2 linked regions of the Oryctolagus cuniculus genome follow. The protein of the gene in region 1 purifies or fractionates together with the protein of each later gene. This does not show direct contact. Links are inferred from orthologs where the notes say so. Each region holds a gene or a part of one and is shown in the gene's direction. Other genes may lie near its edges.

The links.
Region 2: the proteins of IQGAP1 (region 1) and MYL6 purify together in Homo sapiens (affinity purification with mass spectrometry; 4 studies listed by BioGRID and IntAct, counting the BioPlex papers as one, with this or other methods). This does not show direct contact. The link is inferred for Oryctolagus cuniculus from reciprocal best matches to the Homo sapiens genes IQGAP1 and MYL6.

The regions. Positions count from the first base shown.
Region 1 is NC_091443.1:100,724,604-100,728,404, reverse strand, and holds part of IQGAP1 (ras GTPase-activating-like protein IQGAP1), read left to right. Parts: intron 1-315; coding exon 316-418; intron 419-796; coding exon 797-932; intron 933-1,347; coding exon 1,348-1,435; intron 1,436-3,801. UniProt on the Homo sapiens protein: Plays a crucial role in regulating the dynamics and assembly of the actin cytoskeleton.
Region 2 is NC_091442.1:58,964,331-58,968,750, forward strand, and holds the start of MYL6 (myosin light polypeptide 6), read left to right. Parts: upstream 1-1,485; 5' UTR 1,486-1,808; coding exon 1,809-1,811; intron 1,812-2,060; coding exon 2,061-2,088; intron 2,089-2,920; coding exon 2,921-3,064; intron 3,065-3,578; coding exon 3,579-3,752; intron 3,753-3,844; coding exon 3,845-3,922; intron 3,923-4,223; coding exon of another isoform or gene 4,224-4,252; exon of another isoform or gene 4,253-4,267; intron 4,268-4,420. Other genes in the region: myosin light chain 6B, read left to right, coding at 61-204, 412-585, 1,031-1,108, 1,229-1,257. UniProt on the Homo sapiens protein: Regulatory light chain of myosin. Does not bind calcium.

The DNA.
Region 1 (3,801 bases):
GGCGTCTCGGGCTGCGGCTGCACCGCAGCACTGGGCCCAACGTGGGGTAGTGAAGCCTGAGGGTCTGCTCCACTCCGCTCCGTCTGAATGCCATATGGCCGCGAGGTTGAGAGAGTGCCAGTATTTCCTCTCCCTGTGTGGTAACGGGACACCAGCAGGGCACACGGTGGTGCTCTCGGGTCACGTTGGCTGGGCCCGCTTGCTGAGGTGAGGGTTGGTTTGTCCGTTCTTTGGACGAGGAAGCTCAGCACTCAGGGAGGGGCTGGGCGCGAGGACTGAGGACGCGAATGGACTGATGGTTGGTTTTGGACGCAGCTCCTGTTAGATCACCAGGACGCCATCGCCCCGGAGCACAATGACCCGATCCATGAGCTGCTGGACGACCTTGGCGAGGTGCCCACCATCGAGTCCCTGATAGGTAAAGTTCTGAGTCTCTGCACTGTCTCTGGATGTGCAGTGGAAAACAGAGACCACCCCTGTCTGGGAAGGGCTGCAGCCAGCGGGAGGGACGAGGTAAACGTGCAGTCACGGCTCGTCCTGTGACCGGTCCCGGAAGGGGAGGAGGCCTGGGGGAGCGCTGGGCCGCAGCGCCGACACGACTGAAGTTACTTTACCGTGTCTCCTTTGCCTTTATTACCTGGCGTAACATTTTACAAGACCTCTCAGGGAGGTTGCCCTGCCCTGCCGCGTGTGTCGGCTTGGTCGCCTGCCGTCCTCGGCTTGCGTCCTCTTCTGTTTGTGTTCTTTGCCTCCAGCGTCTCCTCTATTGATTCTTTCTGCCCTCCCAAAACTTCAGGGGAAAGCTCTGGCAACGTGAACGACCCGAACAAGGAAGGTCTGGCGAAGACGGAAGTCTCTCTCACGCTGACCAACAAGCTTGACGTCCCGGGAGACGAGAACGCAGAAATGGACGCCCGGACTATCCTGCTGAAGTGAGTATATCAGAAGCAGTGAGAGTCATGGTGACATTGTCCCAGAGGCCCCTTGGCCTTTGGTGACAGGCCCACTGGGTCCGACCTGAAAGGACCATCTCGGCCCCTCACCATCACAACTGTGGTTACGGTTACCTTGCGTATCTTACTCGGCATAGGACTTAACCACCTTGTTTTGCCAGTCTGCTAAAGTGAAGTTTACTGTTGTAAATACTGGCTCTGGGCCCACTCCACTGTACAGTGCAGTTGCATAAATAACCTAGGCCCTGAGTGCCTCGTGCGAGCAGCCGCCCGCTGGGACTCCCTGGGATGATGTTTGTGCCGCCGCCACCGCCGCCGCCGCTGCTGCAGTCACTGAACAGGGAGGGGAGCGCCCGCCAGCTGGTGTCTGAATGCTTCCCTCATCTCATTGCAGCACAAAGCGTTTAATTGTGGATGTCATCCGCTTCCAGCCAGGAGAGACCTTGACGGAGATCCTGGAAACACCAGCCACCAGTGAGCAGGTAGGGTTTGGGTTTGACATACACCACCGTGAAGCGGCTAACTCTCCTGTGACAGGCACGTGCCGGGTAGAGGGAGGCGAGATGGAGTGAGGAGAGCTCCTGGAGCAAGCGTGAACCTGCCCGGAGGATGGGGGTGGTTAGATCTGGTGTGAGCAAGTCCAGAGGAGATAGGTGTTCCTGGGTCTCCAAGCTCCTTGGCTGTCTCCAGCAGAGTGAAAGGGGGCGGGGCGTGGGTCTGTGACTCTAACCCGGGGCAGGATCAGTGAGTCCGTCCTGTAATTGATTGCCTACTGCAGAGTTGGAATTCTGTGTACCTTGGCAGATAGATGGAAAGTACAGAGGATGGTTCCTAAGCTCAGTGAGCTCTTGGCTCTTACTGGGGAAATGTGGCACGTAAACCTAACGCAGTGATAAAACCCATTAGAAATGTAAACCCGAAACAACGAGAAGACCATTAGAAATTAGTGATGGTGTTGACTGTGAAAATGACAGGGGATACAGGAAAGGCCAGGAGCAGCAGTGCTTCAGGAAGATTGCACAAGATGAGCGGGGCCTGAGCCAGACTTGACATGGGATGGGTAGGGCTTGAGTGTGCAGAGGAAGGGCATTCCAGGCCGGAGAGCCTGGCTGAGCCGAGGTGGAGAGGCGGGGAAGGCCCTGTGGCCAGACTACACCTAGAATGCGGTGTGCATGCAGGGGAGCGGTGAGGAACGAGACGTGAGGCAGGAATCTGGCACTGCAGCGTGAGAGCCTTTGGAAGCTTGGGGACCATTAGCAGTGAGGGATTCCAGTGCCACCCCTGCAGATGGCAGTTGGGTCAGCCAGGTGCGTGACACCAGTCCAGAGAAGGGTGCATGGCAGTGGGAAGGGTTGGGTGAGTCGCTTGGCTGCTAAGACACCTGTTTCTCATTGTCGAAGGAGAAAAGTAGTTTCCAGATATTAACCGTAGGACTCCGTTTCATTAAATGAAAACTTAGAAGCCCAATATGGAGAGCAGGTAAAGCTGCAGCTGCTCCGGCAGCTCCAGGACTGGGGCACCTGGAGCCCAGCCCTCGAGGGCTCTGGGAAGCCCCTAAGGCTGCACAGAGCACTGTTTGAAAGCCTCTCAGCCTTTGGATGCCGCACTGATTAGATGCGTGTGGGGGCGAGAACCTGCCTTCCCGTGACTGCAGCGTGCCGACCCAAAGCACGTGTGAGGCAGGGAAGGCGGAGCCGGTCCTTACTGAGAACCTACTGTCGGTTTCTTTTGTCCGTGCTCTTTCCTTTTATCTTGGCGGTATCCCTGTGAGGTGAGTCTTGTCATTCCCGTTCTATAGATAAGGAAACTGAGATCCTTATCCATTAAATAACTTGCCTGAGACCTACAGCTTGTAATGACAGATTCCAGCCCTGCCTGAGTCCAGAGCGTGTGCCCCTCGCATCGTGTGTGCGCAGTAGTGTTGATGTTAGAGGAGAGGGGACGACTGGGGAAGGGGGTTGTTCTAGTTGGGGAGGGATTACACGTTTGACCTGCAGCCACCCCAAACATCCCAAAATGCGGCAACAGAGCCTTAAAGATTGGGGTGGAGATCGTGGAAGCTACTGAAAGCAAGCAGAGACGAATGGCTTTTTTTTTTTTTTTTTAAGATTTATTCACTTTACTTGAAAGTCACAGTTACACAGAGAGAAGGAGAGAGAGAGAGAGCTTCCATCCACTGGTTCACTCCCCATTGGCTGCAATGGCCGGAGCTGCGCCAGTCCAAAACCAGGAGCCAGGAGCTTCTTTCTGGGTCTTCCATATGAATGCAGGGGTCCAAGCACTTGGGCCGTCTTCTACTGCTTTCCCAGGCCACAGCAAAGAGCTGGATTGGAAGTGGAGCAGCCGGAACTCGAACCGGTGCCTGTATGGGATGCCGGCACTGCAGGCAACGGCTTTACCTGCTGTGCCACATCGCCTGCCCCCAGAAATGGCTTTGAGTGCCTTGGAAGTCCCAGCGTAGGCCTAGGGCGGAAAGAGAGTGCAGAGACTGTGAGCCAGGTGATGACTAAGAATAGATGCTGGGTTTGGGAGGTGGGAATGGGGATCATAATTAATGGTGAGAGCTTTAGATACAGAAGCCAGGTTGCAAAGGGTTAAAGAAGAAAATGCTAGAAGAATTGAGCAGCAGATGTACTGAAATGTTGGGTGGGAACAGAACAGGCTTTGGGTAGAGACTAAGACAGACTCGGGGCAGCTGTCCTTGTTCAGATCCTAGTGTTGGAGAGAGAGGAAGGCTTGAGTGTGACTCCGCTTGCACAAGGCAGCGAGAACAGCCAGCGAGGATTTGCTGAGCGCTGCTGCATTCGTGTAATTACCACCTTCTCGGAGCCATGTTTGAAACAAAATT
Region 2 (4,420 bases), on another chromosome or scaffold:
GCCTCTGTCTGGGAGTGATGGGAGTCCTGGACTACAGTGATCCCTCCTTGTGTCCCCCAGAGTTCAAGGAGGCCTTTGAGCTGTTTGACCGAGTAGGGGATGGCAAGATCCTGTACAGCCAGTGTGGAGACGTGATGAGGGCCCTGGGCCAGAACCCCACCAACGCCGAGGTGCTCAAGGTCCTGGGGAACCCCAAGAGTGACGGTGAGGGGATCCTTGGGACAACGCAGGTTTTTCTGTGGCTAGATGTCGGTAAGGTGACAAAGGATGCTGGGCTGGATCTCGGGACCTGAGAAACCGTCAGACACCAGGCAGAAAAACATCCCGAATGCTGAGCACGATGAAAGGTGGTGTGGGAGGGGCCCCGGCGACATCACACTGACCTGTCTCATGCTTCCCTCCAACCGCCAGAGCTGAAGTCCCGGCGTGTGGACTTTGAGACCTTCCTGCCCATGCTCCAGGCAGTGGCCAAGAACCGGGACCAAGGCTCTTACGATGACTACCTGGAGGGGCTTCGGGTGTTTGACAAGGAGGGAAACGGCAAAGTCATGGGAGCAGAGCTGAGACACGTCCTCACCACCCTGGGTGAGGCAGGGACAGAATTCTATGAGGGCTGGTGGGGGAGTGGGGGAGCAGTGGACCAGGGTAGGCAGAGCCAGGGAGAGGATTACTGCCCTGCTGGGCAGGAGATGGAAGGGCTGGGGACAGGACCTGAAGGGCTGGCGCTTCCAGAGGCTAACGTGCCTCCCACAGGGCAGAGAACGGGAGACAAGTGGGAGACGTGTGCCCGTCACCCCTGGGAGTCAGTTCCCTTGTCCCTAGAAACTCCCATCAGTAGCAAGGCACTTTGTTACGAGTCGAGATGCAAAACAAGAGGCTTTACCGCGACAGCGGGAGGATGTCCTTGGGGGGAGTGGCTCCGAGCAAGTCTCCAGGGTGGGATAAGAGGTGCCACCCAGAAGAGTGTGGCTTGGGCCCCTGAGGGACCGCGCCAGGGCGGGGCTCCAACGCCGCCGTGTCTGGGGTGCAGGAGAGAAGATGACTGAGGAGGAGGTGGAGACTGTCCTGGCGGGACATGAGGACAGCAACGGATGCATCAACTACGAGGGTGAGGGGCCGGGGCGGGAGGGGCCCTTCGGGGGCGGCTGGGCGCACCCTGGGTTACCTAGAGTCGGGCGCGGTGTCCGCAGGCCCGGGTCTGAGGACCCTCTGCCTCCTCTCTCCGCAGCTTTCCTGAAGCACATCCTAAGCGTCTGAGCTCTACAGGTAGGGCCCTGCGACCTGAGGGCCGAGTCTCCCCCGCCTCCCGCCAGCTCAGAAAGCCGCGGACTGCGCGGGCGTCAGAGCTTGGCAACTTTCATTTTTTTCCCACAGATCCCGCGGGGCCAGATACTGATTCCCCCCACCCCCTGCAGGAGGAAGCACGTTCCTGCCACTAGGAGGCCACCTATTGTTTCAAAATAAAGACACGGTTCCTTCCTCGGTCTCAGACTGGTTTTCTTTGTGGGGTTGGAGGGGAGTGACGCCTTTCCCCACTTCCCGGTACCTCATCCTCCGATGTTCTGGGAGTTAGGAGGAGCAGATCGCTGCGCCCGACCCCCCACCCGCTCGAGCGTCTGCGGGCTCAGGTGCGAGCGACCCCGCCCGTCTCATTACTAATGCAGTAATGTAACCGCCCGAGCCCGGGGCGGGGCGCCCATTGGCTGGCCGGCCCGGGGTGACGTCATCAGGGCGTACTAAGACTAGGGTTGGGCCCGGAGCCGGAGCCATTACTGCAGGAAAAGATCCCGCAGAGCTGAGCGGTCAAGATGGTGGGGCCCGGGGCCTGGGAGCCGAGTGGGGTTTGGGACGAGGCGGGCAGCCGGGGGCAGGGGACGAGGAGCAGGCCAGGGTAGCGGGCGAAGGGGATCTGGGTGGGTTGGAAAGCCTGGGGTCCTGGTGCTGCTGGGGAGCGGAGCCCCAGCCTGCAAGAGGAGTTTGTGGGACGGGGATGGAGCATGGGGCGGGGGGGGGGGGGAGGTTGGAGTTCGGGTGCTGACCGCTACCTCTTCTCCGAGCAGTGCGACTTCACCGAGGACCAGACGGCAGGTAGGTCATTCTCTGGCTCCAACTGAGGTCATCTTCAGGGAGAAGGACACTCCCTCTGGCTCCTAACCCCAAACTGTTATCTCTTTACCGCCCCCCACCCCCACCCTCGGGAGAGTATCCCTGGAGTCCCTTCTCCCTTCTTCCGGGTCCTCTGTTTCCTTTTCTCACTTTCTTCCTCACTCCCCTTCTACTCTAGATCTGAGCCCCAAGCACTGGGTGAGTTTTAGGTGTGGGTATGTGGTCACCTAGTGCCTGCTGTGTGTGGGGTTTGGGGAGGGTCTGCGTGCCTCTGCTGTCCCTTAATCACTACATCTGCCTCTTCTCTCCTCCTTTAACTCTCCCTCCCTGCTCTCCCCACCCCCGGCTTGAATCGTGCAGATTGTGAAGGGCAGTGACCTGATTATTTCCCTGAAGTCGGGGACAGGGGAGTGTGCCCAGGATGTGACTATAGTTTTACTCTGCTAAGGTCTTTGTATGGTGGAAGTGGCCAGCTGGGATGACCCAGGTCTTGGGCTGTTGCTCCCACTTCCTTATAAGGACATGACCCAGACTGGGCGGTGGCAAATTCCTGCCCTGAGTAGTGTTTTAGTAGCGGGAGGCTGGCAGGCCTGCTGCAGGCGGAGGGTGTGTGCACATGGATGTTAGCAGACCACCAAGGGGACCGGGTGGCTGATTCTTCATGTGGGACACTTGAGTTGGGAGGAGAAATGGATCCCTCCTGGGACACTTAGTGTAGAGGTATCTGGTTTCCTCAGCTTGATCAGGGCCCTCCCAAGGCAGGGTTCAGGTTAACCCCCACGGCCCCAGTACTGACCTTCATCTGAATCCTCAGAGTTCAAGGAGGCCTTCCAGCTGTTTGACCGGACAGGCGATGGCAAGATCCTGTACAGCCAGTGTGGGGACGTGATGAGGGCCCTGGGCCAGAACCCCACCAACGCCGAGGTGCTCAAGGTCCTGGGGAACCCCAAGAGTGACGGTGAGGGTCGTAGAGAGCAGCCCCACTCCAATTGAGAGCTTCAGAGGCCCCAAGCTCAAGCAAGTCTTGTCTCGATTAGGAAATCCCAGGTTGCCCCTGCTGAGTCTTTTTTTTTTTTTTAAGATGTATTTATGTGAAAGAGTTGGAGAGACAGAGAGATCTTCCACCTGCTGGTTCACTTCCCAAATGGCTAAGAGCCAGGCTTGGGCCAGGCTGAAGCCATGAAGTCAGGAGCTTCTTCAAGGTCTCTCACATGGGTGCAGGGGCCCACACACTTGGGCCGTCTTCTGCTGCTTTCCCAGGCCACAGCAGGGAGCTGGATTGGAAGTGGAGCAGCCAGGACATAACTGACACCCATATGGGGTGTCGATGTTGCAGGCAGTGGCTCTACCTGCTAGGCCAGAGCGCCCACCTCCCACCCCTGGAGTCATTTGCTGACTGTGATCCTGAGAGTTCCCTCCTGAGAGCTCGTGTGACTTCCTGGCCTGACGTCCCCATGCTTCCTTTATGACAGAGATGAATGTGAAGGTGCTGGACTTTGAGCACTTCCTGCCCATGCTGCAGACTGTGGCCAAGAACAAGGACCAGGGAACCTATGAGGATTACGTTGAAGGCCTTCGGGTGTTTGACAAGGAAGGGAACGGCACTGTCATGGGTGCTGAGATCCGCCATGTCCTTGTCACACTGGGTAAGGCTCTGTCCTTGAGCTGAGCTACTCCTACTCACTCTGAGAGACCTCACTTGTCACCCACCTTAAAAAATGCCTCCTTCCCTCTGCAGGTGAGAAGATGACAGAGGAGGAAGTAGAGATGCTGGTGGCAGGGCACGAGGACAGCAATGGTTGTATCAACTACGAAGGTGAGGGGTCACCTGGGGCAGTCACAGGGGTCAGCTTAGGGATAAGACTTGGGGTTTTTCATATCCCTGGACTTGGGCTCCAAGAGGAGCCAGGAGGCAAAGGGCAGGGCTTGGCCTGGCCCAGCCCAGGGGTTGGGGGAGAGGGTCAGGGGGAGGATGACAGGAAAGGAAGGGGGAACGTGGCACGGAGAGTGGGGAAGGAAGGGGACGTAGACTCCACGGGATGTGTGTCCCCCAGCGCCTGACCCTTCACCCGTGTCCGTGTCTTGTCTTCACCACGAATGTCTCTTCCTTCCTGCAGCGTTTGTGAGGCATATCCTGTCGGGGTGACGGGCCGTGGGGCGGGTACGGCTCCTCCCAGCCTCTCCTCTAGTTGATCGCCCCAGTGTCTCTCTCCAGCCTGTGCTCTCGCCCCTGCCCTCACCCTTACTACCATCTGACTTCTGGCATGTTCCTGCATGGAGCTGGCTAGGAGGGGAGGGGTCCTCAAAGAGGAAG